Caenorhabditis elegans: one gene and its partner. The protein of the gene in region 2 purifies or fractionates together with the protein of the main gene of each other region. This does not show direct contact. Each region holds a gene or a part of one and is shown on either strand. Other genes may lie near its edges.

The links.
Region 1: the proteins of nekl-1 (region 2) and pld-1 fractionate together in Caenorhabditis elegans (co-fractionation; one large-scale study listed by BioGRID). This does not show direct contact.

Annotation. Positions count from the first base shown.
Region 1 is NC_003280.10:5,083,415-5,099,591, forward strand, and holds pld-1 (Phospholipase), read right to left. Parts: upstream 8,277-16,177; 5' UTR 8,223-8,276; coding exon 8,135-8,222; intron 8,000-8,134; coding exon 7,827-7,999; exon of another isoform or gene 7,782-7,826; coding exon 7,655-7,781; intron 7,609-7,654; coding exon 7,464-7,608; intron 7,416-7,463; coding exon 7,287-7,415; intron 7,022-7,286; coding exon 6,907-7,021; intron 6,859-6,906; coding exon 6,353-6,858; intron 6,230-6,352; coding exon 6,074-6,229; intron 6,023-6,073; coding exon 4,431-6,022; intron 4,378-4,430; coding exon 4,244-4,377; intron 3,616-4,243; coding exon 3,421-3,615; intron 3,375-3,420; coding exon 3,268-3,374; intron 3,218-3,267; coding exon 2,986-3,217; intron 2,797-2,985; coding exon 2,704-2,796; exon of another isoform or gene 2,644-2,703; coding exon of another isoform or gene 2,518-2,643; intron 2,459-2,517; coding exon of another isoform or gene 2,405-2,458; exon of another isoform or gene 2,371-2,404; intron 2,160-2,370; coding exon 2,034-2,159; intron 1,707-2,033; coding exon 1,566-1,706; intron 1,192-1,565; coding exon 1,068-1,191; and 4 more. Other genes in the region: C04G6.4 (Protein TIC), read right to left, coding at 1-19; UPF0057 membrane protein txt-9, read left to right, coding at 2,405-2,458, 2,518-2,643; C04G6.2 (DUF281 domain-containing protein), read left to right, coding at 9,833-9,902, 10,087-10,194, 10,313-10,454, 10,510-10,702; C04G6.13 (C6 domain-containing protein), read left to right, coding at 11,346-11,412, 11,471-11,530, 11,575-11,716, 11,764-11,956; C04G6.6 (uncharacterized protein), read right to left, coding at 16,024-16,177.
Region 2 is NC_003279.8:2,349,256-2,365,050, reverse strand, and holds the start of nekl-1 (non-specific serine/threonine protein kinase), read right to left. Parts: upstream 7,169-15,795; coding exon 7,057-7,168; intron 6,635-7,056; exon of another isoform or gene 6,634-6,634; coding exon 6,371-6,633; intron 6,159-6,370; coding exon 6,103-6,158; intron 4,983-6,102; coding exon 4,876-4,982; intron 4,829-4,875; coding exon 4,713-4,828; intron 3,486-4,712; coding exon 3,262-3,485; intron 2,339-3,261; coding exon 2,062-2,338; intron 1,543-2,061; coding exon 1,432-1,542; intron 796-1,431; coding exon 649-795; intron 598-648; coding exon 491-597; intron 437-490; coding exon 365-436; intron 1-364. Other genes in the region: peel-1 (uncharacterized protein), read right to left, coding at 8,896-9,080, 9,349-9,477, 10,271-10,384, 10,435-10,521, 12,168-12,177; zeel-1 (TIR domain-containing protein), read right to left, coding at 14,583-14,985, 15,400-15,795.

The DNA of each region.
Region 1 (16,177 bases), on a different chromosome or scaffold from region 2:
TTCCATCCTGATCACCCATTTCGCTCTCTTAAACAAATTTAATTACTGTTATTTTTCAATATTTGCTACTATTAACCAGATGCGAGATGTTGCTCCAAAAATACGGTACCCGGTCTCGAAGCGATAGTTTCCTCTTAATTCAAAGGATCGTTTGCCTTTGAGGAGTACTGTAGTTGCTAACTTTTCGTTTAAATTGACATTAAAAAACTCATAATTTTAATAAATCGTTGGAAAAACTATGAAAAATCGATGAAAGTTTGAAATTACAGTAGTCTTTAAAGGTGCGCACCCGTTTGTACTCAGAAAAAATTGTCGCCTCGAGACCGGATACTGTAATTTCTGGGCGAAAGCTGCAAAATTTCGTATCTGGGTAATAAGACTCAGATAGTTTCTCGAAACCAACGATTTTATGGATGCAGTTATAACGAAGAAAAATAAAAATAAATGTTTATTCTTGTATGATTAATTTGAAAAATCATTATTTATAGAGAAAATGAGCTAAATAAGAATTAAAAAATTTGGCATTGAGGAGTTCGGTTCGTCTTTTTTGGTATACAAGCAATATTATTCAGAGTAACTCTGAAATTTACTATAAAATTACTGGTTTGTTATCTCCACTGAATTAGTGACAATTGAACTATTAGGGGGTATTTCACAGGCAAATTGGCGGAGCAGGGGCTTTAGCTGCCATTAACAAAAAAGAAAACCGGCAGTTACACACAAAAAAATAGCTGAAAACTCTGAAAGAATCACATTGGCAAAGAGCAAAAAAAAACTGGCAGAAAATCTGATTAATTGATGATTAAAATTATGTGAATACAGCACTTGGAACAAGTCCCTCTTTTGATGTTATTCCTGGAGTCAGAACTGCTTTGCAAAGGAAGTTGAGTGGGAAATCGACGAGGACACCTGCAAAAAAATGGTTTTTTTCGGAAACGATTCGAGGAAATGACATCAGTGACATTTTCACATTTTCTCTCGTAAATTGAAAGGCCAAAAGTTGTAAATGTCTCAAGTGATAAGAGGAGTTATCATCAACGCTAAACTAGACACTCCAAAGTACAAACCTTTTAGATCTCGAACTCTTTCCTCAGCTTGTTGTGGAGAATATTCGGACATTGGAATCTGTGATGTCCATTTTTGGAACTCTTCAAAAGTTTCCACGAAATCGGTGGGGTAGGAGCGGAAAACCTGAAAATTAAATATTGACTATTCGAACTTGAATTCTCTTTTAATACAGAGAAGCGAAATTTTGCAAAAGGATGCGCGTCTTTAAAAGATACTGTAGTTACAGACTTCTGTTGTTACGAAAATTACCTTGATTATTTATAGTTTTTCTCATAATTTGTAAAAATATATATGCTTTTAATTGTTTTAGTTCAATTTTTCAATAAACTAATTTTTAATGAAAAACTATGAAAAGTCGATAAAAATTCCACAGTAACGATTGTTTGAAGTTACAGTACTCCTTAAAGGCGCATACCCGTTTGCATTGAACAATTGCCGTGCCGAGACCTGGTACCGTAATTCTGGCGCAAAATTTGCAATGTACTTATATAACCAACCTCTTCATAAATCTGACCATTACTCTTGGCAGTTGATTGCCATACATCAACAAAGAAACTATCGGCGACAGGATCATCGCATGACACTGCATACGGGAATTTCGCTTTCCGGCGGGAGTCGGGAAGTAGGCCAAGATGTTCCTGAAAAAAAAGCAAATTGAGTGGAACTGCTGATTTCTACCGTAGCAGGTATGTACGGTGATAATGTTAAAAATTGTTGATTTCGGTATGCTAATTCTAATTTTTACATATATTAGGAAATATTAAAGAAATGTAGAAAAATGATGGTTTGATCACAATATTCGCTATTGTTGGTAAAGGCACTATTCAAGAAAACATATTATTAGATCAAAAAACACTTTTGTGCATTTTTATATCAATTTCAAATCCAAAAAGTTGGAATATCACACTAAAATTGACACTTTTGTGCATTTGTCGAAAATATTTGCCGCACAGCTACTACCGTACCCTCATGCATTGCATCCGTAGGCTCTTTGCAAATCGTCCAGCCTCGAATGGTTTTCCATCCATAACCGAACGTTCTTTGACGACGTCAGTGTACACACAGCATACTTCAGAGTCACGATTTCCACACTGAAAAATCAATTTATTGTTTCATTGATTTCACTCTCTTCCTTTTTTTTTGCTCATTCTTTTCGAGTTAAGCACACATTTAGTGCAAAAATGTCACATGAATCACTTCACTATTCCTTAGTTATGATGATAAGCGGATGGGCGGGCGTGAAGAATTTTTAGTTTTCGGCAAGGAGGCTCGTATATAAACACATGAGAGGAAGTGAGTTTTGATACTTTTTCATATTTGCTTGAACTTTTGAACGATGGCTACAGATGCTGATGTTATTATTGAGGTCATTCTTTGCATTTTCCTCCCGGTAAGTTTTGATTTGAGCCTCTCTTTCAAAATGGGATCTTAAAATATTTTCATTTCCAGCCATTAGCAATCTGGTGGCACACAAAAGAATGCGATATCAATGTGCTCATTGATATTATATTTTGCCTGCTCTTCTGGCTTCCAGGAATACTTTACGCAGTCTACATTTGCTTCTTCAGAAAGTAATTTATCCAAATTTCTTGTTTTTCTTTTTCGGTTTAAAATTTAAAATAAATTATAAATTACCTGTGATCTATCATTAATATTTGCTGATCCAATGATAACATGCTCATCATCGACGATGAGCAATTTACAATGAATGTAGACGAGCTCAGATACCTGAAAAATAGTATAAATGAGGAATAAAGTGAAGAGAGAGTGGGAGAAATAGAGAAAAAGCTTATTTTATGACATGAAAGACGTGTGTTTGTTTGTGAATGGGCATGCAATGCAAATAAAATTTCCAAATATTTAGAATGGCCAGTGATAAGGGAAAAGTAAAAATGTCTATGATACAACGAAACTCACCAATTTCTGTCCAAGTTGATCATAGGTTCTGAGTGATCCTACATGAATATATTTAAATGGATCAGGCATCACAGCTTTCAATCTTTGAATCAAAGAATTCGGTCCCTGACTCAATGATTGATATGTCCAATGAAGAACTGCTTGAAGAGAAGATCCACCAGGAGCACCGACGTCTCCTTCGAATCCAGGTAGAAGTGGAATCATGATGTAGACACGATAATTGTCTTTTTCTCTGAAAATCAATTTAATTGATTTATAATTTAAAAAATAAATAAAACTCACTTGTAAGCTCTGACGATACGATTATAAATAACTTTGCAAACTTCATTCGTGACATCATTTGATTCAATCATAGAAACGAAAAATTGATTTTCAATGTAGATGTAGTGCTGAATAAATTTTAATTTTTTCTAAAAATGTCTGAAAAAATGAAACCTTCGAGTTGGCGATGAGTGAAAGATATGCCATTTGAATCGAATCTTCAGTTTGATTTATCAATCCTGACCAGTTAGACAAGGAACGGAGAACTTGTACATTGACCATTTCAGATGCATTCGCTGTTTTGAAGACACGTGGAACACGAACATTCTCGTAGCTTTTTGGTAAGAGATACGGATAATTCTTGTCATCCTGGAAAAAAAATAATTAATTGGGAGAACTGGATCCATTATATATTTTTTAAAATTTGAATAAAATACACACTTTTCATGATAAAATTTGAAATATTCACACCAGAGAAAAGGTTAAAAAATTGAGAAAATGATAAATTTTGCGAATGTTTAAAAATAAATTTTGAAACGTTTCCACTAAAATTGGAATTTGTTGTATTATATATTGAATATTACAGAAAGATTAAAAAACAAAGATAAAAAATGCCTGAAACTGATCTGTTTCGAAAACTACCGTACTCCGAATTTTTTTTTTGAGAACGAAAAGTTTTTTTTTGCAAATAATACACGACAAAAACGAGAAAAAAAAGAAAACGAACATTTTGTAATATTGGAAAGCTATTTTGAGAAACAAAAAAAAAATATATATATAAGTATTTTAAAATGCATTTTTTAAAAAATTTTTCGGGAAAAATGTAAAATTTAAATATTCATGAATTTTCAGTACTACAGAATTTTCGGTGTGTTTTGCTCACATGTTTGAAAAATACATTTTTGCCAGAAAAACTTAATTAAAAATATTTTGAAAACTTAAAAAACTTTTTTCTCGATTTTTTTTTGTTGAAAATTTAACTGCTGATGATAATTACCTTCAGCTTCTCCGTCTTTGTAGCATTCCATCGTTGAATAAAATGACGAGCAAGATCACGAGCTGGAGCACCAAAAGTTACAGAATGGATGTCATGCCATGGCATTCTTGGAGTAGATCCACGATCAATAAAATCTGAAATTTTATATTATTAATCATCGAAATTTAATTGAGAGAAAGTGACCTACCATGGAATGGCATATCAACTTCGACGAAATCTTTCGCGATATAATTGACATAATCCTTTCCATACCATAACTTTGCACCTCCATCAATTTCATCATCTCCATCACCTTTTTCGTCCATTTCACGAAGTCGCAACCAATCCAACTCATATCCCATTGTGGCTTCATCACTTTCAAGCATTTGCTTCCACTTTCTCTTGGCTCTGTTGCTCTTCCAATTGCCCACAGCACCCACAGCACGAGTTATTCTCGAATCTTTCTTGGCTTTTCGACGATTCGGAGGGGTCTGGGCTCGATGTTTCTCCTTCTGAACAGCTCCACTTGCCACGTATTCCTTATATTTCTCGGCTGCCGATGCAAAATCCATTCCACTCTTTGCAGCCTTCTCAATCATTGACGGAGCAGGGCCAGCTTTGTCCAGAATCTCACGTGGGACATGCTTCCGCTGACGTTCCAATGAAGTGACAGCTCGACGAAGTTCTTTCTTATTCTTCTCCTTTTCGAGAGTATTATCCTTTACTACTCTAGTTGTAGTAGTCGTCGTTGTAGTTTTAGAAGTTACTCCACCAGAAGTTGATGTTGATTCTACAACAGTTGTTTTAGTTTCTTTCCAGTTCTTTTGTGGATCAGCAGGACTAGAATGACGTATAGCTTCATCCACAGGGAATCGGTTAAGTGTTCGGACAACGACTCCACCAGTTTCTTTATCAGTGAATATTGTCTCTTCCATAATCTTTTTAACATCAGAATCTTCAGAGATATCTTCATTATCGGTCAATTCGGTTTCTTGTGTTCTTCCAGTAACTTCTTTTGGCTCGTCAACTTCATTTATTTCCTCAACAGCGACACGCTTTACTGATCCATTTTTACCTCCATTCTCGTTTCTCGGCGTCACTTTCTCATGTTCCTCAAGACCCAAAGGAGAAAGCGTTAACGGAGCTGTCATCAAGCTTCTCAATCCACTGGCCATATTTGTAGCAACTTGATGTGCACCAGAATATTGTACGGATCCAAGATCAGTCAGCAAATGTCGATGATCATCCCATCGTCCAAAGCAAAGATCAACTCCTCCAACAAAAGAGATCAATTGATCAATTATCAGAAGTTTTTCGTGGTGAGCCCAGAAGAATGTTCCAGTTGATGGATAATGATCAGGATGCCTCATTACTTTAATATTTTCATGAAGTCCTTGAAGTGTCCGTTTTGAGTAAATACTATTGAGACCAAGTGCCATTTCCATTTCTTTATACAACAATATGAAAATCTTCACACCTTGCTCAGCTTTTCTCTTCAAAATTTCATCCAAACGCCAATAGTTTCCTTCGAGAGCTGGCCGTTTCATGTAAATCTCTGGACTGAGCCACCAATCGGTAATGTAAATTTCTTCCCGAGCCAGTTCCATCATATCAGCCGCATATTCCATGTATGTTTTCGCATCAACAAACCATTTCGCGTGGCAGTTCTCACGTACTGGAAATGAGGAACTGAATCTGTGTGGTTGAAGCCAAGTATTTCCGATTCCACCCATAGCCTGCTCAATAATGTATTTCCACGTGGCAGTGTCCTGAAGACGGCGGCATTTTAGATGAAGCTCACTGAAAAATTATATTTTGATTTTATTGATTTTTCCTGAATTATAATCTCACTGTTGACTATTTGTAATAATGAGTCCTGTCGGAATTCCTTCTGTTTCTTTTCCTCCAGCTGCAACTTTGAAATCACGATCCATTAGCAATACCATCCGAATCTGCTCAGTTCGATGATCCATATATGCAACAAATGAATCACGAACCATAAGCCATCTGAAATTGTTTTTATTAATTTTATTTCGATAAAAACGATAAAAGGTGTCGATTTTCAGATTTTTCGAATTTTTGGATTATTACTGAAAAAATCGAAAAATTTTGACCAAAACTTTTAATAACCTTTTACTCCACGGTAGAAGATATCGTACACAACATTGCTTCCATCCAAGGAACACTCTCGAACCTCCAGGACGTTTCTTGACAAATCCTTCCGTATGTTTTCCACCAAGCTCATTGACAAATGAATATCTCGAAACCTCCAAAAATTCAGCAGTTTCGTGATGATTTCTGTTGATCGGAATGTGAAGAACCATTTGGAGCCAGTTCTCGAGAAGCTCTTTACGATGCTCCAAATTTGTTACCATCGAATCAGGCATCATTGGGAAACGTGGAAGAGTGTGCCGATCCTTCTTTCTCTGTTGACGTCGCTGCCGTTTAGGTGTTCCTTCGGATGTATTAGCCTCATTGACAGTTTCATCGAGAATTCCAGATTGTACAGCTTGCTGCATGTGAACTTCCTTTTTGAATGCATCTTCTACTTCTCCAGGTGATTCAACTGATGCTAGTGGAGCAGATGTATTCTTTGATTCTTCAATTCCATCCGAATCACGCTTCAGAACTTGCAGCTGTAAATATTTAAACTTCTTTATAAGATAAAAAACTCTTAAAGATACCTTCGGATGTCTCTTCCGTTTAGAGCTTTGATTTGAGTATGGACACTCTGGCTTGTGATCAGAAATAATATCAATACCCATATGCTCCAAATAATTATCGAATCGCTCTTGTGTTCTGAAAATAAATAAAAATAGCAAAATACATTAATTTGCAGTTATAATTTCATACAAAACAGTCCAAAAACAAGCCATTCAAGTCTAAAAATAAACAAAACAAGCACAACAGCGTGTAGAAACTTACTCATCCTGAACTTTACCACGAAATCTGAATGGGGGTTAGTCTTAGGTTAGCGATGGGGTGAATTGCAAGAAAAAAAGCTTCAAACTTATTATAAAAGGTGTAAAATGAGAAAATTAAAATAAAAAGTGGCAATTAATACCTTTTAATTGGTGCCATAAATTGTTCACGAGCACGATGTGCCATGAGACGATTGTTGAGAAGTGTGAAATCTTTGTAGTTTCTGATGACGCTCCAACGAAATTGTCCATGTTCCAGCTCGATTGTGTAGCTGAAAAATGTTGATTTTTCAATTTTACTTCAAAATTCTCTAACTCACAGAAGTGTATTAATAAAGTGAATTCCCCGATCCGTATTTCTCTCGACTTTTACAATTTTCGCGTTAACCGGAACTCCTGGTATCCAATATCCTCGACGACGAGCTTGCTGTTGAGTATCATAAATTGACATGTAGGGAATGATTCCTTAACCAAACACGTTTAATATGAGTAATTTTTAAAGTAATAATACCTTTTCTTCCAGGTGTTCCGGGAAGAGATTGCTGTAAAGCAGCAGCAACACAGTCACAATATTGGATCTCATCGTCATCAGAACTATCATCACTATCACCATAATCCAAGGACTGTGGAGAGGATACCTGAAAGATAAATATCTAGAGTTAAAAAAGAAAAGTTGCACTTACCTCATCAATGTGAACTGTTTTGCTGTCTCGTCGGACATTAAGGTTGCTTGGCGGACTGTCTGCTCTTCCCTCGTGTTCTCGGAACCGAATTACAGCTTTCTTTTGTTTATCTGAAGCTTTTGTTGCTGGCAGGAGTCCTGGTATACCACGGTCATGCATTACAGATGAGTCGACTGAAAATGAAAAAGAAATTGGAAAATGTTGTTGACTTTGGTGTGTTCAAGAAGAAACTTTTTGAAAAGAGAAGGAAAAGTGCAAAATGTATTTATGAATTCCTTGTGATTTCTGATTTTCACGGAAAAACTAACCTGAATTATTTTCAGTTGTATCTTTCGGTTCCAGATGACCACTTGATGTTGTCTGAGGCCTCCGCGACTCTTCATCTTCGCTCTCCATATTTCTGTCTTGACTTTGAATGGTCAAAATCAGACCGGAGTGCGGGTTTTCTCCCTGAAAGAATAAAAAGCAAGTTTCTCAGAGTTAATATTTCTTGGTTTCGTAATCTTTACAAGTGCGAAACATGAAAAATGTGATGAATCACTGAACAAACTGTAGAAGTGTGGAAAAAAAGAGAAAGTTGGCTGTGAAATGGCAAATTGGTAATAGGAAATGAAGAAAATACTGTGATTCATCTTGAAAAAGGTTCAATTTTTGTAGTTTTATATTTTTATCAGTAATATGTTTGAAAATGTGAAAGAAAAACACTCCTTGAAACAAAATAAAATAAACAATTAAATTTTTTCGAAAGATTCCAAAAAGTAGTCTACCGTACTATTTTAAAGGCGCATGCACATTGCCAAAAAATTTTTCTGGTTCGTTGCGAGACCATCGGCGCCTTTTGTAGAGAAACAAAAATGTGTTTTCGATGGAATTTATTCGTTGTTGTTTCAATTTTGAAAAAAAGCAAAAAATGCAATAAAAAAGACATCAAAATTGCAATAAATCATATTTAAGAATAAAGTCGATTTTTTTTCGAGAAAAATACCACGAAATTTCCTCGAAATTGATTTTTAAAATTGTTCTTTGCAGTTTTCTCCCATTTCGGGGACTTCAGAAAATTTAAATCGAAATTCACAATTTTTCAAAAAACCTGATACAAGAGGTTTTTTGTGTGGTTTTTATTCTTGACGATTCAAATGATAAAAAAAGATAAACGGCAAAAATCTTTCATATAATGTGAGAAAATCCCACGCGGAAGCAACTAATAGCGGAGACGGGGTCATTCGCGCACTCTATCTTTGTCTTGTGCCTCTCCTACACCAGTTATGTCTCTCCACATGCATTTTTACTTTACTTCTCTGCGCCATCTCTCCGGCGCCCGTTCTTTTAATCTCTGAGGCGCTTGTTTACATGAGCCAGAACCATTGTAAAACCACATTATATTGATTGTTCTTCGTGTGAATGTGGTGATATTTGATGCAGAGAAATAAATGATTTTAAACGAAAATTACTGGCTACAACTAAATAAGTGGCAGGCCTTAATTCGTGCGGGAAAAACAATGCCATGTTGATTTTTTTAGAATTTTGAAGAGGAAAACGGAAAAATGCCTTGCATTGAGTATGATATGAAACGCGAAGATGATAAGAAGAAGATGAAAAGTTGGTTGGTGGAAACAAAAAACGTGGGCAAAGAAACATGTAAACAGCTGTTCGTTTATCAGTTCAGAATTTATATTGAACACATACACCTAGGTAAGACCTTAACATGTTGGTTGTGGCCATACTACAGATCCTAATAAAGTGATAGTCATTGTTAGATATTTTGTTTTCCAGAGGCAACCCATGGAGTACCTAGTGGCGTAATTCGATTTAAAAAAGTCTGATTTGATCTTTGGGTATGTAGGAAACCCGTAATAAACCCAAATCCATACCTTCTACGATTTGAGATCATCCACGAATACAGAAATCGGTATCATTCGCACATTGAAACAGGATATTGAAGCGATGTTGCATAACACTAGACCGATATAAAATGAATTGTAGTCTGAGGACATTACAGGGACAACATGATCGCCTTCCTTTTATTCTCTATTGTTAAAGTCGCTATTACATGTATCCCAACTCAAGAAGTTGAACGTAAGTTCTTCGCAGTATTTTTTAATTGATGGAAAATAAATGTATTAGCTAAATATTTTTTTGAATCTTGTATCGTAAAGTTATTGAGAAAATTATTTAGAAACCTTTTATATAAGAACACTGGAATGCCTAGAAAGAATGTTGCATAGTAAAAAATTTGTGGCACAACTTGCTTTAATTTCAGCTATTGACCCAGTCAGCACTACTACAACGACATCTTCTACAACCACCACAACTACTACAACTACAACGACGGAAGCAACTACAACAACTCTAACATTAGCTCCGAACCGTAAGCGTTTCATGAAAAGCTTCTAAATTTTAAAAATTCGAAATTTGTTGGAGTGTATGATAATTGATGATGTGAGATCACTGTGAGTATAATTAAACTACCCTAAATCACTTTCTAGCCTGCACAATGTGTGCTCCAATTTACAATACTGGATGCATGGGAGTTGGAATGCCAAGTCCCACAGATTGGTGTGTTATTGGAGATGATATTCCCGTTACTTATTCACTTGTAGATGATGGTGCAGGACTTATTAGTTGCGAGTGAGTTATCATAAATGTTTCACAATGCCCTAGTGAACACTGCTTTATATTTTAGAACGACATTACAATGCCCAACTGGAACATTTGCTTATTTTGTAGCAGGAACCGAAATGCAAGGAAGCAACGGAGGCACTGATTCATACACAGTCAGCTGCGAAGAATCGGGTGGTTTTTATATTGGAATATGGCGGTTAGTAATTGGTGGGATACCTACTCCAATTACTCAAGCAACATGCAGAAACATGTAGAAGTGCACAAATATTGATGGTACTTTATGAAAGTTTCAAGATGTTATGGTTCAATATTTCTAAAATTATACAAGATATAATAAATATTGATATTGATGTCTATTATGTTCACTTGGAACTAGACCGCACTTTTTTGAACTGCAAAAATTCAAAGACACTAAACATCATTGCTTGTTATGAATCGAAAGAACAGGATATCATTTGGTGCGCAAAAAGCTTGTTGCTGCTTCACCTGTCCGACGCTTGATCAAAATTTGTTTCCTTAATTTCATCGGCGCTTTATGCAGGTGTAAGTTAATTAAACTCTATCCATATTTTGAATCGACTAACATTTTCAAAAAGTAAGGTTGCTGGCAATATGCCAGTGCAAAAAGGATGCAAAACTAATTTTTGGTTGGATCGTAAGGACGCAAGACTTATAGTGAAAATACTATATTTCTGCTCAAACAAAAAGTCGAATTTTGAGCTTCAAGCATGTTACACGTGACTAATATAAAAATTTGATACTTATTGCAATGTCTCCTCCAACAAAGGATGAAGAACGTTTTTTCGAATCGGAACAAGAAATATTGCGTTGCGAACAGATATGCAAGGAAGATATAAAAGTGATCTGAAGCATGTCACAGTTTGATCAGACAATATTATGTTTCTACTCTTATTCTCATTGATGCCTATAATGAACGGATGTATTCCCACTCAGGAAGTTGAACGTGAGTTGTTGTACAAGCATACTGACTATGAAAGAGTATAGATAATTTTCCAAAATAGCAATTACCACTACAACTACAACGACTACCGAAGATCCAACCACAACAACAGTCCCTTATCGTGAGTTCAAGGTTTTCAATTTTCTAAATAAATCAAACTTTAAGCGTGCTCTGCTTGCACACCAATCTACAATACTGGTTGCATGGGATATGGTGTCCCCAGTCCGACAAATTGGTGTGCTATTGGAGAAGATATTCCAGTGACTTATACAATTGGAATAAATGATTACGGGTCTACTGCTTGCCAGTTAGTTAGATGTTTCAAATCAAAATTTCAATTTAGAAAATTTTCAGAACAACGCTCCAATGTCCTTCCGGAACTATTGCATATTTCGATCAATCAGGTACTGAAGTTGAAGGGAATGATGGAGGAACTGATTCTTACTCAATATCGTGCGAAGAAGAGGGCAATTATGTTGGAATGTGGATGACTCAAATTGAAGCATTTCCTCAGCCGATAAATCTAGTTACTTGTAGGAATGCTTGATTATTAACGTATTTAAATAATAAAAATATTTTTTGAAACTGAAGTACATATATCAAGTATGTAATCAGGAATAAACGAGCAGTTTGTTTTATTTACTCAAAACTAAGACCATACGTTTTCCAATAAAATCAATATATTTCAAAGCTTTTTCTCAATCTAGTCTGTTTGAAAGGATCAATAAATACAGTTTTGATGCTGATCTTTTATACAGATAAAAACTGATCAGACTAATTGTGTCTGGATGTTTTATGAAAAAAAAAATTTCTCGCCAATTCAAGTAGGAACAGGAATTTATGTGAAATGGACACCCTCCATTTTTTAGACCTTATTAATTAGTGTGCCAAAGATTGGAGCAATTTCAAATTTGCGTGTAACCAAAATGAAAAATAAGAATTAAAGAAGAGTTATGGGAACCCAATCTAGAAATAGCGAGAAATTTGAACCCGCTAAAATTCATTTTTCATAGAAAACCATTATATTTATTTTTAATATTTTAATTTAAAAAATTGTTTTTGGTCACTTTGAGTAATCAGAAAATGGCACATAACTCACTGGAAAAATTATTTCAGTTTATTCCTTGGCATGACCAAAATTTTCAACCATTTTTCATCGCTACATTAAAAGCCAGCTTTCGGGAGATAACAAAGAAACAAAACACCACATCTTATCAGAGAACAGGATATAACTGCACGATTAATTAAAGTATCGATATAGAAGATTACGTTCTTGATCAAAATGTTCCATATATATTAATAATACTTAGAAGTAGAGCAATTGTGAAAATGGAAACATGGTGAATATTTTGTGCTTGGTCACAATGTTTCTATTTACTAAATCATACAAAACTACAAATATCAGGTAGTTTCTAATAAAATGTGAACAAGCACATGAAGAAAATAAATAGTGTGAATAGAACTTGTTCACACTTTTGAGAGCACAAAAGAGCTGGAGAGAAATATGAAAGGTAGAGAAAACGAGAAGGAAAAATAGTTGATTTTTCAATTGCAACAAACAACTGAAGATATTCTTCTGTTTTTTTTTTATTTGTGAGTGTGGTTGAGAAAAAGAAAATAAAAATGTTGGAAAGAGAAGTGCCGGAGCCACCGGGTGCCAGAGCACAATTTCCATCTTTTTTAATTGTTTAGAACGAAACATGTGAAGCGGAACATACTCAATTTGAGGCAAAAGTTAGTTTTTTTTGTCTATTTCGTGCTAAAGTATTTTTGGAAATTTTTGAAAAACGAGAAAATTCTAGTATAAAAAATTAAGCGAAGATAAAGTATTAGAAATTGAAAAAAAAAGAATTTAAAAACCACATCTATTTTTTGACAATTGCAACCACTATTTTTGTCATCTGCTTCTAACAAAGCGTGTGTAAAACGTAATGTTTGCTCACAAAATGAGTCACTGGTTTTCTATTTCTTCATAGAATCTACGAGTTAGAATCGGTTCAAAATCCAAAAATTGACGTGCAAAAATGAACCAAAATTTCGAAACAAGATGAATAAAAATATATAATTTCTCAAAATGAAAACTTGAAAAAGAAAGGTTACTAAATTCATACCTGGGCATACTAAAGTTGTTATTTTTCGTATTTTCGTAGTCTGTGGAAAAGGAAGTAATTTTAAATTTGATTACCTCGAATATTGAGTAAACAATGCAAAGGTTTTGGGTAGATATGATATATGTATGAATAAATTAATATGACGTTTTTTAACCTGGTGGAACCAAGTAGCGAATTAGCCTTCACATGCTTCAGGTAAGTTTTCAAAAAATTTTTCCACGAATTTTTCTCATCTGCAAGTTTCATTCACTCTGCTCTGATCAGTTAGACCATTAGATGAATTCCCAAAGTTAGACCATTAGATGAATTCCCAAAGTTAGACCATTAGATGAATTTCCAAAGTTAGACCATTAGATGAATTTCCAAAGTTAGACCATTAGATGAATTTCCAAAGTTAGACCATTAGATAAATTTCCAAAGTTAGACCATTAGATAAATTCCCAAAGTTAGACCATTAGATGAATTTCCAAAGTTAGACCATTAGATGAATTCTCAAAGTTAGACCATTAGATAAATTTTCAAAGTTAGACCATTAGATGAATTTCCAAAGTTAGACCATTAGATGAATTCTCAAAGTTAGACCATTAGATGAATTTCCAAAATTAGACCATTAGATGAATTTCCAAAGTTAGACCATTAGATGAATTCTCAAAGTTAGACCATTAGATGAATTCTCAAAGTTAGACCATTAGATGAATTTCCAAAGTTAGACCATTAGATGAATTTCCAAAGTTAGACCATTAGATGAATTTCCAAAGTTAGACCATTAGATAAATTTCCAAAGTTAGACCATTAGATAAATTTTCAAAGTTAGACCATTAGATGAATTTCCAAAGTTAGACCATTAGATGAATTCTCAAAGTTAGACCATTAGATAAATTTTCAAAGTTAGACCATTAGATGAATTTCCAAAGTTAGACCATTAGATGAATTCTCAAAGTTAGACCATTAGATGAATTCTCAAAGTTAGACCATTACAAATTTAAAAAAATCAAAAGTTATTACTAACGAAAAATCCTCGAATCAAAATTATTCACAATTGAAATATAATAAAAAAAAACACACACACACAATAAAAAACAATAAAAACTTTCACAGAAAAATGAGGGAAAACGGCAAGTGTATGAGGTTGAGGATAATGCGAACAACTATATAACAGATATGGTTAGTATTGTGGAAAAAATGCAATAAACCCGGAATATTATTTGTGACAAAAAATAAATGTATGCTATTCGTGGCAATTGTTAAGTAATGTTCATAAAACAGATTAAGAGAAACGCAGAAAGGGGAGGAAAATGAGATAAAAAGAACTGCTGATAGGGGAAAAATGTGTAAAATGAGATTAATTTAAGCATGGGGAAATGGGGAAAAAATACTAAAAAACGCAGAGAGGTAACTGGGATAAATGAACTGTTTTGTAAGGGGAAAATGGGATTAATTTAAGCACAACGAGACTGCATTGACGTTTTCTACGTGGCAATTTTTGGATTTTTTAATAGAAAAAGCGAAAAATTCAGAATATACTCGAAAATTCATAAATTTGATTTTTTTTTCCCAAGAAATCACACTCGAAATTTTAGAAAAAGTGCAATTTTTATCGACATGAAAACCATTTCAAAATACGAAATTTCCTGCGTTGTGATAATATGAGAAAATGGTTTTTTTTTCAGAAATAATGTCCAAAAGGCTGTGTTATTTAATGAAAAAAAAAATCATAAATTTGTTGAAAAATAAAACGAAAGTTCATAATTTTTGAATTTCTCAGGAAAATGATCGTTTTTTGAGTTTCAGACAAAAAATATCGTTCGGAAAACTGCCTTTTCATGGTTTTTTTCGCAAAAGTTTTTTTTTCCAATTGAACTTGATGGAATCTCGCGAAAGTCAGTATGTGTCGTTGACCTTTAACAATTAAATTTCGAAAAATAATAATACATACATAAAAATGTCTGAATCAAGTTCGTAAGATGTCAGCTGCAAACATTGACTTGAAGAATTGACAAATTCACGTGGGAAGACCAGAATTGACGAAGAACATGGCACAGGAATTCGGAATGGGCAGTCTTCTGGAAATTTTCATTTTGGAATTAAAAATGTGTTGAATGCTGGTTTAGACTAAAAAAGGATTTTACTTTAAAACTCTCAAAATTGTCTAAAATTGGACGAAAAATATAGAAAAGAATGATCCAAAATAAAAAAACAAATTCAATTTTAGCTAAATTCCCTCCGAAATAAGAACCGTGACCAATTAGCAATTCGCTCCGCCCAATTTTCAACCAATCAGATGGAGTGGGCGGAGTTCGAGAGTGCTGATTGGTCGGAGAGCTCTCATTTTGAAGGAATTTAGAAAAAAAAAAATTGATTTTGCTTTTTTTTTTCATTCTTTTCTGGATTTTCTGAATTCGAGATTATTCACGTTAGTCCAATTTTAAAATAGTTTGAAATGTAGAACTAGATTAAAAGATCACTAAAACATTATCAATAAAAAAATCTGATATATACCTTTCTAATAAGCACTGATAGCTCTACCGGATGGTGGAGGTGGTGGTGGTGATCGACGACGATTTGGATATCTCTTCACTGGTGGATAATCATCTGCGTCGCTGATCTCCATTTCACAGTCCGTCGTTTTTCCGGAATCCGACATTTCTGACTCGGAA
Region 2 (15,795 bases):
AATATTGTTCTAGAAAAATCAATAATGTCGTAGAAAAATCAATAATGACCTAGACAAATCAATAATGACCTAGAAAAATCAATATTGTTCTAGAAAAATCAATAATGGCCAAAAAAAATTAATAATGTCGTAGAAAAATCAATAATGACCTAGACAAATCAATAATGTCCTAGAAAAATTAATAATTTTTTAGAAAAATCAATAGTGTTATAGGAAAATCAATAATGTCCTAAAAATCAATAATGTCCTAGAAAAATCAATAATGTTCTAGAAAAATCAATAATGACCTAGACAAATCAATAATGTCCTAGAAAAATTAATAATTTTTTAGAAAAATCAATAATTTAAAAAACAAAAATTTTACCTAAAATAATTCCCAACCCCAACTGATTGTATATCTCTGCCCTTCAAACTCTCCACCAACCGCCCGTTTTCCCTGAAAATATGTCGATTGTCAATAGAGCGCACTTGCAGTATCGCCCGGGCTTACATTTTCGAAAACTTCCCGAATCCCAGTTGTCCACAAGAGTTATCACCAAATCCGAAAAGTTCATTATCATTTGTGAGCACCATTGTATGAGTTTTGCTCAGAGCGACCTGAAGAACATTTTGAAAATTTTGTCAAATGTGATGTACACGGAAAGGTACCTGCTTAATCGATATCCGGCTGGGAAGGTCTGGAATTGAGGACAGGGTGATTGTCGGGACATGCAAATCGTAGAGAGTTGTGAACGAAACCGAAGATCTCATTGATCCGGAGGTGTGTCGGTGACGGTTTTCCGAAGGTCGCAGCATCTGAAAAATATTGATTTTTTGAAAATTATCGATTTTTTAAGAACGTTATTGATTTTTGGAAAATGTATCGATTTTTCAGAAATGTCTTCAATTTTTTACTGAAAATTATCGATTTTTCAGAAGGGTTATTGATTTTTCGGAAAAATATTGACTTTTAAGGAATGTTATTCATTTTTCTGAAAATTACCTATTTTTTTGAAATTTTATTGATTTTCGTAATATTATCGATTTTTTCGAGAACGATATTGATTTTTCGAGATTTTATCGTTTTTCCGGAACGTTATTGATTTTTCGGAAAAATATAAATTTATCAGGAACGTTATTGATTTTTCAGATTCGATTTTTTCTTTAAAAAATTATCGATTTTTCGGAAACGTATTAATTTTTAGGAGCGTTAAAGATTTTTCGAAATTTTATCAATTTCAGAAATGTTACCGATTTTCGGAAAATTTTCGATTTTTTTGAAATGTTATTGATTTTTCCGAAAATTATCGATTTTTCAGAAATGTTATTGATTTTTCGGAAAAGAATCAATTTTTCGAGATTTTTTTCCAACATTTTTAATTTTTCACAAGGAAACTATCGATTTTTGGAAATTTTTTTCGCTATTATTGTATTGATTTTCTCTACATTTACCTTTAGCGCCTGCGGAGCGGAGGGCCTCTTTTGCGGATCCAACTGTAGCAATTCCCGTATCACCATTTTCATTTCAGCCGAGTAAGGTCCTTTTACTGGTGTGTAGGCACACTGAAACCAGTTTTTTTAGGTTGATGCTCACTTTTCTAGAATCATCGATTTTCGGGGAAATTATCGATTTTTAGGCCTGTCATCGACGTTTCAGAAAATATTATTGCTTTTTAAAACGACCAACTATTTTTGAGTTGCGCTACCGCCGACGGCGACGCAGAATGGGTTGCGGAGCGCCGCCGGCGGAGCATGTTGCTTTTGCAGTCTGATTAAATGTGGTAATATTTTAGTTACATCTATGACCAGGTGGCCGTCAATGAATTGCGCCGTCGCTGGCGGCGGCGCATGGCGGCTCGCACTGCCGCCATCGCAGGCATGTGAACATTGTGCCGGCGGATTTAAAATCCTATGATTATCGATTAAAAAGTATCAATTTTCTGAAACTAATAATTATTGATTTTTCAAGAAGTTATTGGTTTACAGTTCCATTATCGATTTTTAGAAATATTATCGATTTTAAATCTTTCAAACGATGAAAGTTTTCGATAACGAAAATCGGTCATTTTTAGAGACACTTACCGTCATAATACTATTGACCAACGCGGGAAGATTGTCACCTTCAAACGCTTTCTTCAAACAACACATTTCATAAAGAATACATCCAAGAGCCCACATATCACTTTTCTCATTATAAGAGACACCTGAACACATCTCTGGACTTATGTAATACGGTGTTCCGACAACTGTTTTTGCTCCTTGAGCCAATGTTTCAGTGCCCATTATTTTGGAGATTCCAAAGTCGCCGATTTTTACAAATGAGTCTCGAGTTAGGAAGACGTTGGCAGTTTTTAGGTCTCTGTAAATTATTTCTTGTTTAATATTTTTTAAAAAAATTTATCGATGCACCATGTTACTTGAAATTGGTAAAAAAAATTGCGCGTAAAATATGGCACGCTTGCGTCGGTGAACCTCACAAACCTAATGCACCATAGCTTACGCGCAAAAATCGGAATTTTCAGGTTCCAGTTTTTATGAAATTTTTTTATTTAATAACGATGAAATTTGGTGTTTCAGCTATTATACATTTTGTAAAACAAAATGTACGATATCGATTTTTGCGCGTAAAATATGATGCATTGATGTCTCGGTGAACCTCACTAGTCATATTTCACGAGCAAGTTTTGAATTTTAAATGTTACCCAGGAAGTTTAAAATTTAAATATTTTCTAAAAAAAAATTTCCAAAAAAAAATTTTTACTCTTGAAACTTCAAACTTTTTTTGTCAAAAACTTGTTTTTTGCCCGAACTGATAGAATACAGTCCCAAAATACCAAAAATAACCGTTAAAAAATTTCAAAAAATGTTCTAAATTTCTAATGATTTTTTTAATTCTGAAAAAAAAGAGCTGAATTATTTTTGAATTCCCGCGAAAATGGGTGACGTAATTTTCAACATTTTTGTGTTTTCCTGTTGAAATTAGCATTGAATTATCGATTTAAGGCCAATTTGAACGTTTTATTTTTTGAAAAATGCCTGAAAAATGGACAACTTATGTTTCAAATTAAAAATTAAAAAAAAACCCAATTATAAACAGCCGGAAAACGCAAAAATGTCAAAAATTTTCGAAATAATTCGGCCCTGTTTACTTTTTTTCGCATAGTTTAAAAAAATCATAAAATATTTAGAAAAATTTTATAAATTTTTTTACAGTTATATTTAATATACAGGGACTGTATTCTATCATTTACAATTAGGGCAAAAAACCAAATGCACACTTACCTGTGCAAAACACTATTCTCATGCAAGTAGGCCACCGCCGAGCACATTTGAATCATCATATCGCCAATTTGCTCTTCATCCAACAAATTCTGTGTTCTTGATAACATTTGAGCAAGTGTTCCACCATCAGCATATTCCATTTCAATCATTAAAACACCTTCTTCTTCAAATGAATCATAGTATGCAATTATATTGGGGTGCTCGATACGTGATAACAGTGAAACCTTCAAATTTTTTTATAATTAAAAAGCCAAAAAATTATTTTTGTATTGAGATGTTCCTTCAATAAGTTATTGATTTTTGAGGTCTATTATCGATTTTCTGGTTCATTTTTGACTTCACGAAAATATTGATTTTGTAAAAATTTTATCGAGTTTTGTAATATTTACTTTTTGAAGAATTATTGATTTTACAAAAATTACATTATTACGGGAACACAAAATTCTGAGAATGCGTCTTGCACAACATATTTGACGCGCAAAATATCTCGTAGCGAAAATTACAATAATTCTTTGAATGACTACTGTAGCGCTTGTGTCGATTTACGGGATTTCGATTTCGGAAATGAAAAAAAAATCGTTTCTTCGTATTATTTTCTTATGTTTTGCCTAATTTTATTCGATCGATATTTCGAAAATCAATTTCGAAAATCGAGCCCGTAAATCGACACAAGCGTTACACGTGGTGTCAGGCTGTCTCATTACAATTTGATCTACAAAAAATGCGGGAATATTTTTCCAGAAAAGTTGTGACTTCAGCACGCTCTTAACCATGCGAAATCAGATGAGATGTCTGCGTCTCAACTCCCGCATTTTTCGAAGATCAAAACGAAATGGGACTTTTTGACTACTTACTGTAGTCATTTAAAGAATTACTGTAGTTTTCGGTACGAGATATTTTGCTCGTCAAATATGTTGTGTAATACGCATTCTCAGATTTTTGTGTTATCTTAATAACTTTTGTCTAAAATATTCAGTTTCGTCAAAGATAAAAAATTATCGATTTTTGTAAAATTACAAAATTTGCGGTAGACAATCGTTTTTTATTAAACTTTTTTGATTTTCTTGAATTTTTTTTCTCGACCAGTCGTTTAAAAGTAATTCATTGCGAAATGTTAATTAAAATTCTGTGGCCAAAATACGAAAAAAAAACAAAAAAAAACAGGTGAAAAATTGATTTAGTAGTTTGGTCACCTCAAAATATTCCAGGTGGACGCAAAAAACTGGTGACCGAGTTTTCTCAATTCCTCGGCCACATAGTAACCACGGGGAGTCAGAATGTCTTATTAAGATTTGATCTTCAAAAAATCGCGAGAGAAGAGACGCAGACTTCTCATCTTATTTCGCCTGGTTAAGAGCGTGCTGACGTCACAATTTTTATGGAAAAATATTCCCGCATTTTTTGTAGATCAAAATGAAATGAGACAGCCTGACACCACGTGAGTAACCTACCTCATTCAGCGCTAATCTCCTCTGTGAACTATCCAAATCGTACATATTGATTTCTTTTATAATCACCAACGAACTGTCTTCTCTTCGGCGGTAGAGCACGGCGGACCCGAAGGCACCTGGAAATCTTGGATGGCCTAGAAAAATCCTAGGCCACTGCGCTCACCTTTTCCAACAGTCCGAATACGTTCATATCGATTTTGTGCCGATGTGGCTCTCGGATTCGGGTTTGTTATCATTATCTCATTATTGATATAAATCTCGACGATTCTTCTGAAAAAAAAATCGATGATTTTTGGAATGTGTGACGTCATTTATTTGCCACCGAAAAGAGCCCGTGTTGAAAAATGAAGAAAAAAAATAGAATGTGATTTTTGTTGTCACCCACTACTGAAAACCAAAAGATAATCACTGGTTACGATTTTGTCAGGTGAAGGCATTCATTTGGAAAATGTGCTCATTAGAGAGAAAAAGCTCAGAGAGAAAAAGAGCAAGAAGAAATGAAAATGAAGATGAAGAAGAAGCTGTATATTTTTGGTTGCTAAGAAGCAAATGGGAACTCGCCACGGGGGATTTATTGCTAAATTTATAAGGGGGCATAAATCACAATTTCAACGTGGCCTAGGAGTTTATTTTCTAGGCCACAGAGTGAAAAAAAACTCTTCCACGTTGACAACAGCTACCGTATTTTCCAAGTGGCCGAGGTTTTAATTTTTTAGGCCACATCCATAAAAAACTCTTCCACTCTTTGAGAATCACATTTGGTGGCCGAGAAAAACAATTGATGGCCTAGTTTTCCACAAACTTTCAGAAAATACCTTGGCCCATTTTTTTTGTCACTAATTGAAAGTGGACCTGTGCTCGATCCCCCTAATTTTTACGTGGCCTAGGAGTTAATTTTCTAGGCCACAGGAAAAACGTTTTGCTTTTCTTAGACCCTGCTGTTTGTGATGAACATGATCCCTTAGGATTTTCTAGGCCACAGAATGAAAAAAACTCTTCCACGAGCTCACAGCTTTGTTGCTGGGCTGCTCGTGGCCGAGGTTTTGATTTTTTTTTAGGCTATAGATATAAAAAACTCTTCCACTCTTTGAAAATCGCAATTTGTGGCCGAGAAAAGCATTGGTGGCCTAGTTTTCTTTTTTTTAATCACTTATTAAAAATGGGCCTGTGCTCGATCCCCCTAATTTCCAAGTGGTCTAGAAGTTGATTTTCTAGGCCATGCTTCCAAATTCTAGACCGTTTTTTTGTTGCATATTTTATGTTAAAAAACCGAGAAAAATAATTGGTGGCTTAGTTTCTTTTCAGGAAAAAAGCCCGCGGCCATGAGAAATCTCAACTTTCGACATGGCCTAGGATTTGGTTTTTTAGGCCACGAAAGCTCCTTACTAACCTGTTATGGGGAGCCAGCTCGGACGACAAAAATCTGCTTACCAAACGCACGGAAATCTGAAACAAAATCAATTTTTCTCACTTTTTCCAAAAACTCTTCGATGCACCATGTCTTCGAACCAAAATTTTAAGAGATTGCGCTCAGTTTTAGGCTTAGACTTAGGCTTAGGTTCAGGCTTAAGCTAGGCTTAAGCGAAAAAAAAATTGACAAATTTGTCGTTCAAGGCGCCATATTTTACGCGCAAAAATCCCCGTGTACCGTAACCAACCTTTTTCTTGCTAACACTCTGCACTGCCAAACAAATTTGCGACGCGTTTTCGATGGGCGTGGTCAGCAAAAAATCGATAAACGCCCCCTCGATCAATACTTCTGAAATGAGCCATCGAAAAAATTGGGAGACGAATGAGCCGGCGTTTTCAAGGGATTCTTTCGTTACTTCCATATCCTCTAATATTCGAAGTTTCGTGTCGCGGGTTTGGATATGGAGGCCGAGGTTCCGAATTCGGCCAGCAGTGTATTGTTTTAGCATGTCTGGAAATTGGAATATTCATGGAAAATGTTGTGGATTTTTCGAAAAAAATTATTTTCAATTTAAAAAAAATTGAAGTGAAAAATAATAACTATAGGAATTACTATAGGAAAAAAAAATCAAAGATAAATGGAAAAAATGTTTAAAAAATTCGAAAAGTTTTTTACGAAAAATTATTTCCTACAAATAATTTCAAATAATATTTTAATGAAAGAACCATTAGAGAAAACCCTATTAAAATTTAAAAAAAAAATGAAAAATTGTCCGAGAGAAGTACGTCATTCTCGAAAATTTGATAAATTTTAATTTACTCTTGAAATAATAATATTATTAAAAAATACAGGAAAAATTTCTCAATATTTTTGTGAATTGGAAAAAATTCGAAAAAAAAAAATTTTAAGAAAAAAAAAAAAAATTGAGCAAACCTTTCAACTCGGTCATTTTCACACCAACACTGTATCTAATAATATTTGCATCGGAAGCTCGAATCGTATCCAAATTTACAGATTCTGCATGGCAAAGAATCACCGTGCTCATCATCATAATCACACACGCGCTGGGCTCGCCGAGCCAAGTTACCCTGCCACGAGACGTTGCCCTGGGCAACCAACTTGATTTGATTTGGTTGCGGTGAGTGAGTTGGTGTGCTGAATTTTCTTCTCGCCTTTGTGGATTTCGCAATCATTTGATTTTCAAACGAAATTCCAGCTTTACATGGCAGTAGAAAAAAATCCGAAAAAATTTCAGCCGAGGTTTCTCTGCTTTTGAAAATTGCCCCCTAAGCATCTGGAAAAAAGGATCTCAGAGATCGGCTCGACTTAAGATGACCCTATACCACACTAAATCCCAAACAATAAATAATAATTCGAATTAACATTTTAGAGCGGAGCTAGATCAGGGAAATCTAATTCTCGGAGAGCGAAGCGAAACTAGAATTCATTTTCACACGCGAATGTTTATTTCAATACTATTTTTTAGGCTAAGAAAACCACAACAGGAAAGTTGGTCAACCTGGTCCCGGACTTTAAATCGAAGCGTATGCCATTTGAAATCTTTAGACTAGATCACCACAAAAATTGGCGGAACTCAACTCTGAACCCCTGAAATTGGCAGCTGAAAGTGTTCCAGTGCATTTTTCGCTGAATTCCAGGTCAAGGAACTGGTTCTGAGCGATTAGAAATTGTTTTGGGGGTTTTAGAATCTAACGAACAATGTGGAAGCTTGTTAGATATTTTTATTTTGTTGAAAAAATCTGAAATTTTGTCAATCCAGTGGGAGCCAATTTTTCGGTCAAAAAAGTTTTTTTTTTCGACAAAAAAAAGCCTATTTTTTTCGAAGTCTACAACTTTGCAGTTAAATAATACTTGTTTATGAAATAATTTGTTCGGTGAGATATGAATACTTGAAGTGAAGCTTCAAAAATCCCAAGTTTTCCTTCATTTTTAATTTGTACAGGACTTTAAAGAAAGGAGCGGCTTCCAGTTTCAGTCAATTTGTGGCAGTGACTCTTTTAACTACTACCGCCAGTTGCCGGCAAATTCAGGTTAATTGCCGACAAATATGTGGTCCATTGCTGTTTTTTTAGAGTGAAAAATCTTGGGCAATATGGCGTAAATTTACTGCTAATTAAAGTTTCGCAGTTTTGCGTATTATTTAGAATGCTGTGTACCGTATTTCTTCTATTAGTATGGCCTCCCTATTAGTATTGCACCTTGAATACCCTCCGAAAATTAGTATTGCACTCCCTATTAGTGTTGCACTCCCTAATAGTCTTGCATCTACATTTTTTTTTTTTTGGTACAAACCCACCTCACTAATTTTGAGATTTTAACAACATTTTTTGCCTACTTTGCAACAATTTTGGTAAAATTTCTATGAAATTGAAGTTATTGTACCTTTTTGTTGCAATTACAATCAAATTTTCTGAATTTTCACATAAGATTCGAGTTTTTTTCAGGAAAAAAACTTGTAAGCTCAAAGTCAGAAAATGTTCTGAAAATTAGTATTGCACTCCCTAATAGTCTTGCACTCCCTATTAGTATTGCAAGCGGGAAGACCATCGAAAAATAGTATTGCAGCCATATTAATAGAAGAAATACGGTAAATTTCACATCCAATCAAATTGTAACCAAAACGAAAATCTTACAAAACGCACCTCAAAACGAATGCTTTCGAGATAATACTAATCAAATAAACTTTATTCATAATACCAAATCAAAAATTTTCTATATCTTATTTGGCAGCCTTCTACACATCGATCAATTTCATGGATTTTCAACACTTGGATCAATATGAGCAGTTGAGTTGAGACAATTAAATCGTACAGCAGCGCACAAAGTTGGTCTCAGGCCAGCTGTTTGAACTAATTCCATCAACGGATGGATCGCACCACGAGACTCATAATAATTCAGCAGCAAGGAGAACAGTGCAGAGTTCAATGATAAGAGCACTGTAAATAAAAGTAGTTTAGCTATTATCGGAAAAATACGATCGCAAAGCTTTCGAAAAATTTATTTTTGATCTACCCGGTGCACTGGACTCCTCCTTTCTCTTTATCGAACAAAACAGTATCTTAGAGAAAAACATTTTTAGAAAGTTTGGGAAGCGGAGTCTTTTTTGACCAGGTAGATCAAAATAAAGCATTGCAAAAATATTGCGATCATTTTTTCTCGACAATATGAGATACACATTCTTGTTGTGCGGTTTTGTTTACTTACTATTCTGGCATGGGTCAATGTAAAGGACATGGGCGAAAATCTGTGCAAGAAATATCAAGCCAATCAAACCCTTGCAAACAAGAAGCAGGATAGTTTTTGACGAGACAGAAAATCTTCCTTGCTTAATTTCTAAAAAAACATTGAGTGTTTTGAGGTTTTCCTTTTTTTAATTAGCAAATGCAGATCTACGAACTATTGGACTCTTACTTTCAAAAATAACTGAGTGGTTGTGAGAGAGCCGCGAACCTCGTCGGAGGTCGTTGCCGGTCATATAGCATAACTCACAGATGTTTTGCGGTTTTTAAAATACTTATAAAATGTAGTTCGCGCACTTCTACAAAAGGCACCAGCGATATAGTAAAATAATTTCAAAATCGCAAATATTCAGCAAAGTGCGACCAACGAGAGTAAACAAAATACTCCTAAAATGTTAGTGATCCCGCAGCGAAATGCGCGATTTTCAAAATACATCTGAAATATTGGTGACCATAAGTATTTTACAAACGGCAAATCAGCTGTGGCTACCCGCAAAAGACGGAAAAACACGGGACACGGGCCCGCTGGCTGTCTCAAAATTGCTGTTTTCTCGCGGACGAGAAAACGTTAGAAAAGTGAGCAAAACGGCCTTGAAAGCGGTGGAAGAGGAGGATTCTTCGTCCACGGTTCGCGTAGTTCTCTCGAAGAAAATAGCGTGTGAACGAAGAGACGCAGACGACAAACAGTTATCCTTCGCGTTTTTCACGCCCAGTGAAAAATTAGTATCAGAGTCTCTCTTATCTAATGCATAGCAAGAGTTGGCGCCCATTTGTATGTTGGAGCTCTTTTCATCTACGTTTCAAACTGATTTTTTGTTGAATTTTGTTGTTTAATGCAGCATGATTAAGCCATTTCCACCCATTTTTGTAACATTTATGAAACTCACCAAATGGGCTAAAAAAAATTAACCACAATGAAGCAATTGATCCAATAAGAGCAATAACATGCGCAAACCGATTTACCCATACATTTTCAGGCAGATCAAGATACATGTAGATTTCTGAAAGTGAATAATATTGCAATTGGTGTATATTAAAAAATCAACTCAACTGAAAATCTTTACAAGAGCAAGTAAAAATCCGACTATGATGTTCCACAAAAATATGAAAATCATCGAAAATTTTAAGTTTTGGAAATCTGTAACATAAAAACCAATACAATTAAAAAAACGAAAACTGATTTCATTTCATTTCAAAACAAAAATAGGAAGATAAACAGTTTACTTGTTTCAAAGCTTAATTAGCGCGTTTTCTGTACAGGGTGGTCCATAATTATGGCGACCACTTTAGGGCACAGTATCTTTTTTTTGGACAGCGAGCAAGACTAGTGAATATACACATTTTATTGGTCAGAAAAAATCAAACACAACGACATATAAAACTTGACACTTATCACCACCTACGGCAGCACAGAACTCAAGACACTCAAAAATCCACACGGCCGTGGCGCGCAAGTGGGCTCAATTTAGCTTATTGGTAATTTTTAAATGAGATACATTGAGTGATTTATTATTTTGATTATATATTAAGAATACCGTTAATACAACAAAGTTTTTCACAAATAATTTTTGAGATTGGTGTCCGGTGCCGGAAATGGCATCTTGTGAAAGTTGATGAAGTCAAAAAAAGTAAGCTCCCCCAAGTTTTGTAAATTTTCTTCCTTACCAGCCAACCATCCTTCATGTTGAAAATGCTAATGTGTTCAGTTTAAATGTGTCTTAACTTAAAATGACAATTTGGTTTTCAATATTTCGAAATATTCCACAGAATACAGAATTTTTGGGCAAATTTTTCGCAACGGACTGTTTGCACTGTTTTTAACGGGCAAAAAGCTACATAAATCCAAGCATAAATTGGCTCAAAATATGTCTATTGACTTTGATTTTGCTATTTCGAGTGTCCAAAGTCTGGATAATTATTTAAAACATAGAAACTAGTTACTTGATCCCGTGAGCGCAGCAAGAAACGTCGGGCGCTAGAAATCCTCTAAAATGGAGAAAAATTATAGACTACCGATGTTGTGAGGTCCTCATTACCTTCAAAGTTGAAGGATGTTGTATGGAAATTGACGAAAACGACAGAAAATACTGTGATCTTCTAGAATTGATCAAATTTTAAATTTTTCGTAACAGGGTAAACCCATAAATCAAGTTCTTGCGCGCATGTAGCAGGTCGCCATAATTATGGACCACCCTGTAGAGCCCATCGCGGTATTTACTAATGGTAAGTGGCTGCAAAGATAGAAAACCAGGCCATTCTTTCAAAAAAAGATTAAATAACATTTTTCGAATACAACCTTTTGAGAACGATAGAAATCTTTCATAATATCATTTCCGACAAAAAAAGTTTCAGAAAGAATAGGGTAAAAATTAAAGATTGGCCGAGCTCTAGTTGGCCGAGTTCTGGCTTTTTCTAGGCCACGCAGGAAAAGCACTCTGTGATAGTTTTGACGAATTGAATTGTACGCCAGACGTGCTGTTTATCAAATTATTCAGAAGAGTTGAAACTTTTAATTGGCACGAAATTGTAAAAAAAGTGAAGAGCACGTGTAGGCAGAAGTCATGATACGAGAATGTAGATTGGCAGAGAGGCTTGTGCGCACAAGCCTAAAATATTCTCATTACGTATACACACATAATTAGATGCCTGCTGGCCTATCTACACTTCTATGTGGTTACCTGCTTGCCTTTCGCATGCCTACATGTATTTTCTTTCATATGTATGGACTGAACCGGATGACCACTTTAGTCACCTTTGCCTCCTCTGCTATTACAACAATCTTACCAAAGCGCATCCTTGTAAAACCACAGTTGGTGTGACGGGTGTAGGGAATAAAATTTTAATTTTTAATTCCTCCCCTCCCCCCTTTTACAAATACTCAGGCCACGTTATTATTTTTAATTTTTGAAAAGAAGTGATTGATATTTATGAATGCAACCGGTTAAAAGCATTGAAAAAGTTCGAAAAATTGTCTATTTTGAAATCATGTTTTGATTGGGAAGGTAAAAACTGACTGAAAACTTCTGAAAATTTCTAGCATTATGAGAAGAGTTTACACGATCGAGCAGTCTCAAATCCCGGAGGCGTTTTCCGTGCATGATGATATAAAACGTAGGAGTCTCGAGTTCGAAATTCTGTAGAACTCTTCTGTTTAGTCCCTGAATCCTGAGGACCTGAGGCCCTGAGGCCTCTCACTAGGGAAGGGTCTGAAGGTGCCAGCGGCTTTTTGGACGAAACATGTTTCATTTGAAAGCCCATTTTTAGAAACGGTGAAATGTGAATTTTTAGCTGCGAAATTTCAGATCTGAAAGATGCTCACAGCAGTACTCTCGGCGCACTCTCGGCGCAATTTTGGGGTGTCGGTGAGGGCTGTGGTGATGGTTTTAAGGAAAATATGTTATTTCTAGTCTATTTTACTCTTGCTGTAAGTCTAAACAAGGACTTTCGAATGAAACAGGTTTCGTTCAAAAAGCCGCTGGCACCTTCAGACCTTTCCCTAGTCAGTCCACAATTCCGTTAAGTGTTATTTTGAAAAGCATGACCTCACACACATTTTAATGTTAATGTAAATCCTGAGACTTAGGGAAGATCTAAAAGGGCGGATGCACTGTTTTTTGGGCTTCCTACCTTCCATCCACCTTTTTGTCACTTTACTCCCATCTTTTTGCCACCTTTCTATCACCTTTTTGCAGCCTAGTTATCGCCATTTGTCTCCTTCCGGCAAAAAGTGGGAGGAAGGAGGCACTAAATGACGAGACTTTTAGGGAGATATTTGAGTACGAATTTCGCGCACGAATTTCGTGCTACAATGCCCACAGTAACAATTTCTATAGTTATTTCTACATTTTAAATTTTAATTTGAAAGTTGGAAAAATATCATTTTTGCCCATTTCAATTTGAACCCTCTTGCTTTTACGACCAGTGCTTTCAAATTTTATTTTTTTAAATTACTAACTTAAGAAAGCTACCTGTTTTTATTTTGTCATTTAGTCATTGATTGTGGCTCCAAATGCGTGTTTTAAAGCAATTTCCCTACTGTCGCTACTCCACCTTCGTAATAGTAGAATAGAACTGTAAAAAATTTATGGAACACATTTTTCTTTTGATGTTATGCAATTCTGCAAAACATTGAAAAGGGATAAATAATTTATCAATTTCCGCTCAACTTAATGACCTAGTTTTGATAATATCGCGTAATGCGGCTAATTTTTTTGAGACAGGTCCAAGAAAGAAGATATCCTAGGGGGAATATGCCACAAGGGAAGACGCAAAGATGTGCTTCCTCGGGAAACTCCGCCCACCAACCGCAACTTTTTCGGAACCAAGGCGCGGTTGATGGGAGGAGTTTTTACGGGGAAGATTTCTACGTCATTCCATATGGGTATCTTCTCTTTTAGTGCAGTCTCTGTCTTTGGAGTTAAACCAAACCACCCGTTTTGAGACACAAGCGTCAAAATGCCCGGGTCCATTTTCTGATTTTTTGAGTTTTTTTTTCGAGAATTCCCAGGTTGAAAAAATTTGCAAGAAATTTGAATTGCAATTTTAAGGAACGTTTTGGCAGTTCTCCAGAACTCAGGTTTTTTTTTCCAAAAATTGAAACAATTTTTCAGAAAATCATTCAAAAATCTGTAGCAAATCCACGAAATCGAATTTGTTTTTTTCACATACAAAACTTTTATTCTTTACGATGATTATGTTCTATATGCTATGGTGGGTGCCACTTCAGATGAGATCCTTGTTGGCGGTTTCAATGCTGAGTCCAATCCAAGCCATTGCAGTGTAGGCGAGAGTTGAAGCAACAAGGACGGCAGTGTAGATGGCAGTTATTTTGAGGTGTTGTTGAGAGAGTTTTTGGGATCGGATTAATTGTGTTCAAGAAATTCTGAGACATGAAGTTTTTCAAGAAATTCTACAAAGCTTCTGGCTGAAAACCTCAGCCCGAAACGATTACAGTAGCAAAACTTTCAGAGAATAGAATTTGAGTATTGAAATCAGTTATGTTTTTACCCGTGACCCGTTTATTTGGATCGAAAATAAAATTGTTCAGAAATTAACAATCAAATTCAATTTTTTGTTTAAAAAAATCAAAAAATTAACACTCTTAGTGGGAGACCCGTTCACCCATTTTCTTGGATTATAAAAAAATCAAAGTGTTTATTGGCATCGTGAGCATTAATAAAAAAAATAGATAAAAAAGATTTAAAGTTTATACATTATGTGCAACAATGATTCCGTCGCGTTTCTCACTGCTTCCGACACAACTTTCAGATTTTCGATGTGCTTTAGAATATACGAATATTCCTCAATAGTCTCCACAAACTCCTTTTTCTGTTCTGTCAAAATTTGAAGCGTCAGCAGCGCCCAGAGGACAGGTCCCTCAAGCCTTGAGGTTTTGAGCACATCTTCAAGGATTCCCAGGTAGATTTCAACTTTTTCGGTTATCTCGGATGGTTGGAAATATCGGAATCGGTCGATTAGAAGATCATTGGCATCAGAGGAAAACTCACAGGTTGTCCAGTCTCTTTCGGAGGAGAAGATGCGGAGTGAAATTATTGTGAACACGTTATAAGCTTTGTTAGACGTCCAGTCATTTAGGAGTTGGCTGAAATATGATTACATTGGAAAAAACTGCTCAGAAAGCTTCAACTCGGTGTTTTTAGTACTGATAAAATGCACTAAATTATTTAACATTAAAGGTGGAGTAGCGAAATTTGAGGCGTTGCCTTTTTAGACCCAAAATGGCTAAAACCAAATTTTGTAATGTGACGTTCTGAAAATTTCTCACAAAAGTTAAGTTTTGGAAAAAATGGTATATTTTCAGCTAAAGCGACACTAAAGTTGCCAAAAGTTTAGATTTTAGCCAAAAATAATATTTCATTTTTTCCAAAACATTGAGCGGTCATAACTTTCATGTGAGAAATTTTTAGATCGTCTCATTACGAAATTCGGTAGTTTTTGGCCATTTTGGGTCTAAAAAAGCAAAACCTCAAATTTCGCTACTCTAGATTTAACTCACTGAAAAACTTTAAATTCTGTCGCAGTAAAATGTTTCTTGAAAATCGATGACTTGTGAACAATGCTCAAGTTTCTGATAACATGTAGTACTTCAAGATGTAGCTCATCGGAATTACAGTTTTGCAGGCACCACACCAGCGAAGCAAATTTCCCGTTTTTAAGTATATCCTCACATGCGCTCTTACTGCATAATGTCATAGAGTATACAATTTTAAGAAAAGAAATACATTGTCTTTCGTTTCCATTTATGATTTCTTCTTTAATTAGATTGATCACACATGTAGTAAGCTTTTTTTCCAGATATCCACTGAAATCCTGACTTGGCGAGAGTCTCGTACAGGTTTCCACAACCGACGTTGCTTGATTCAAGAAACGATCGGGTCTTAGATAGACTTCC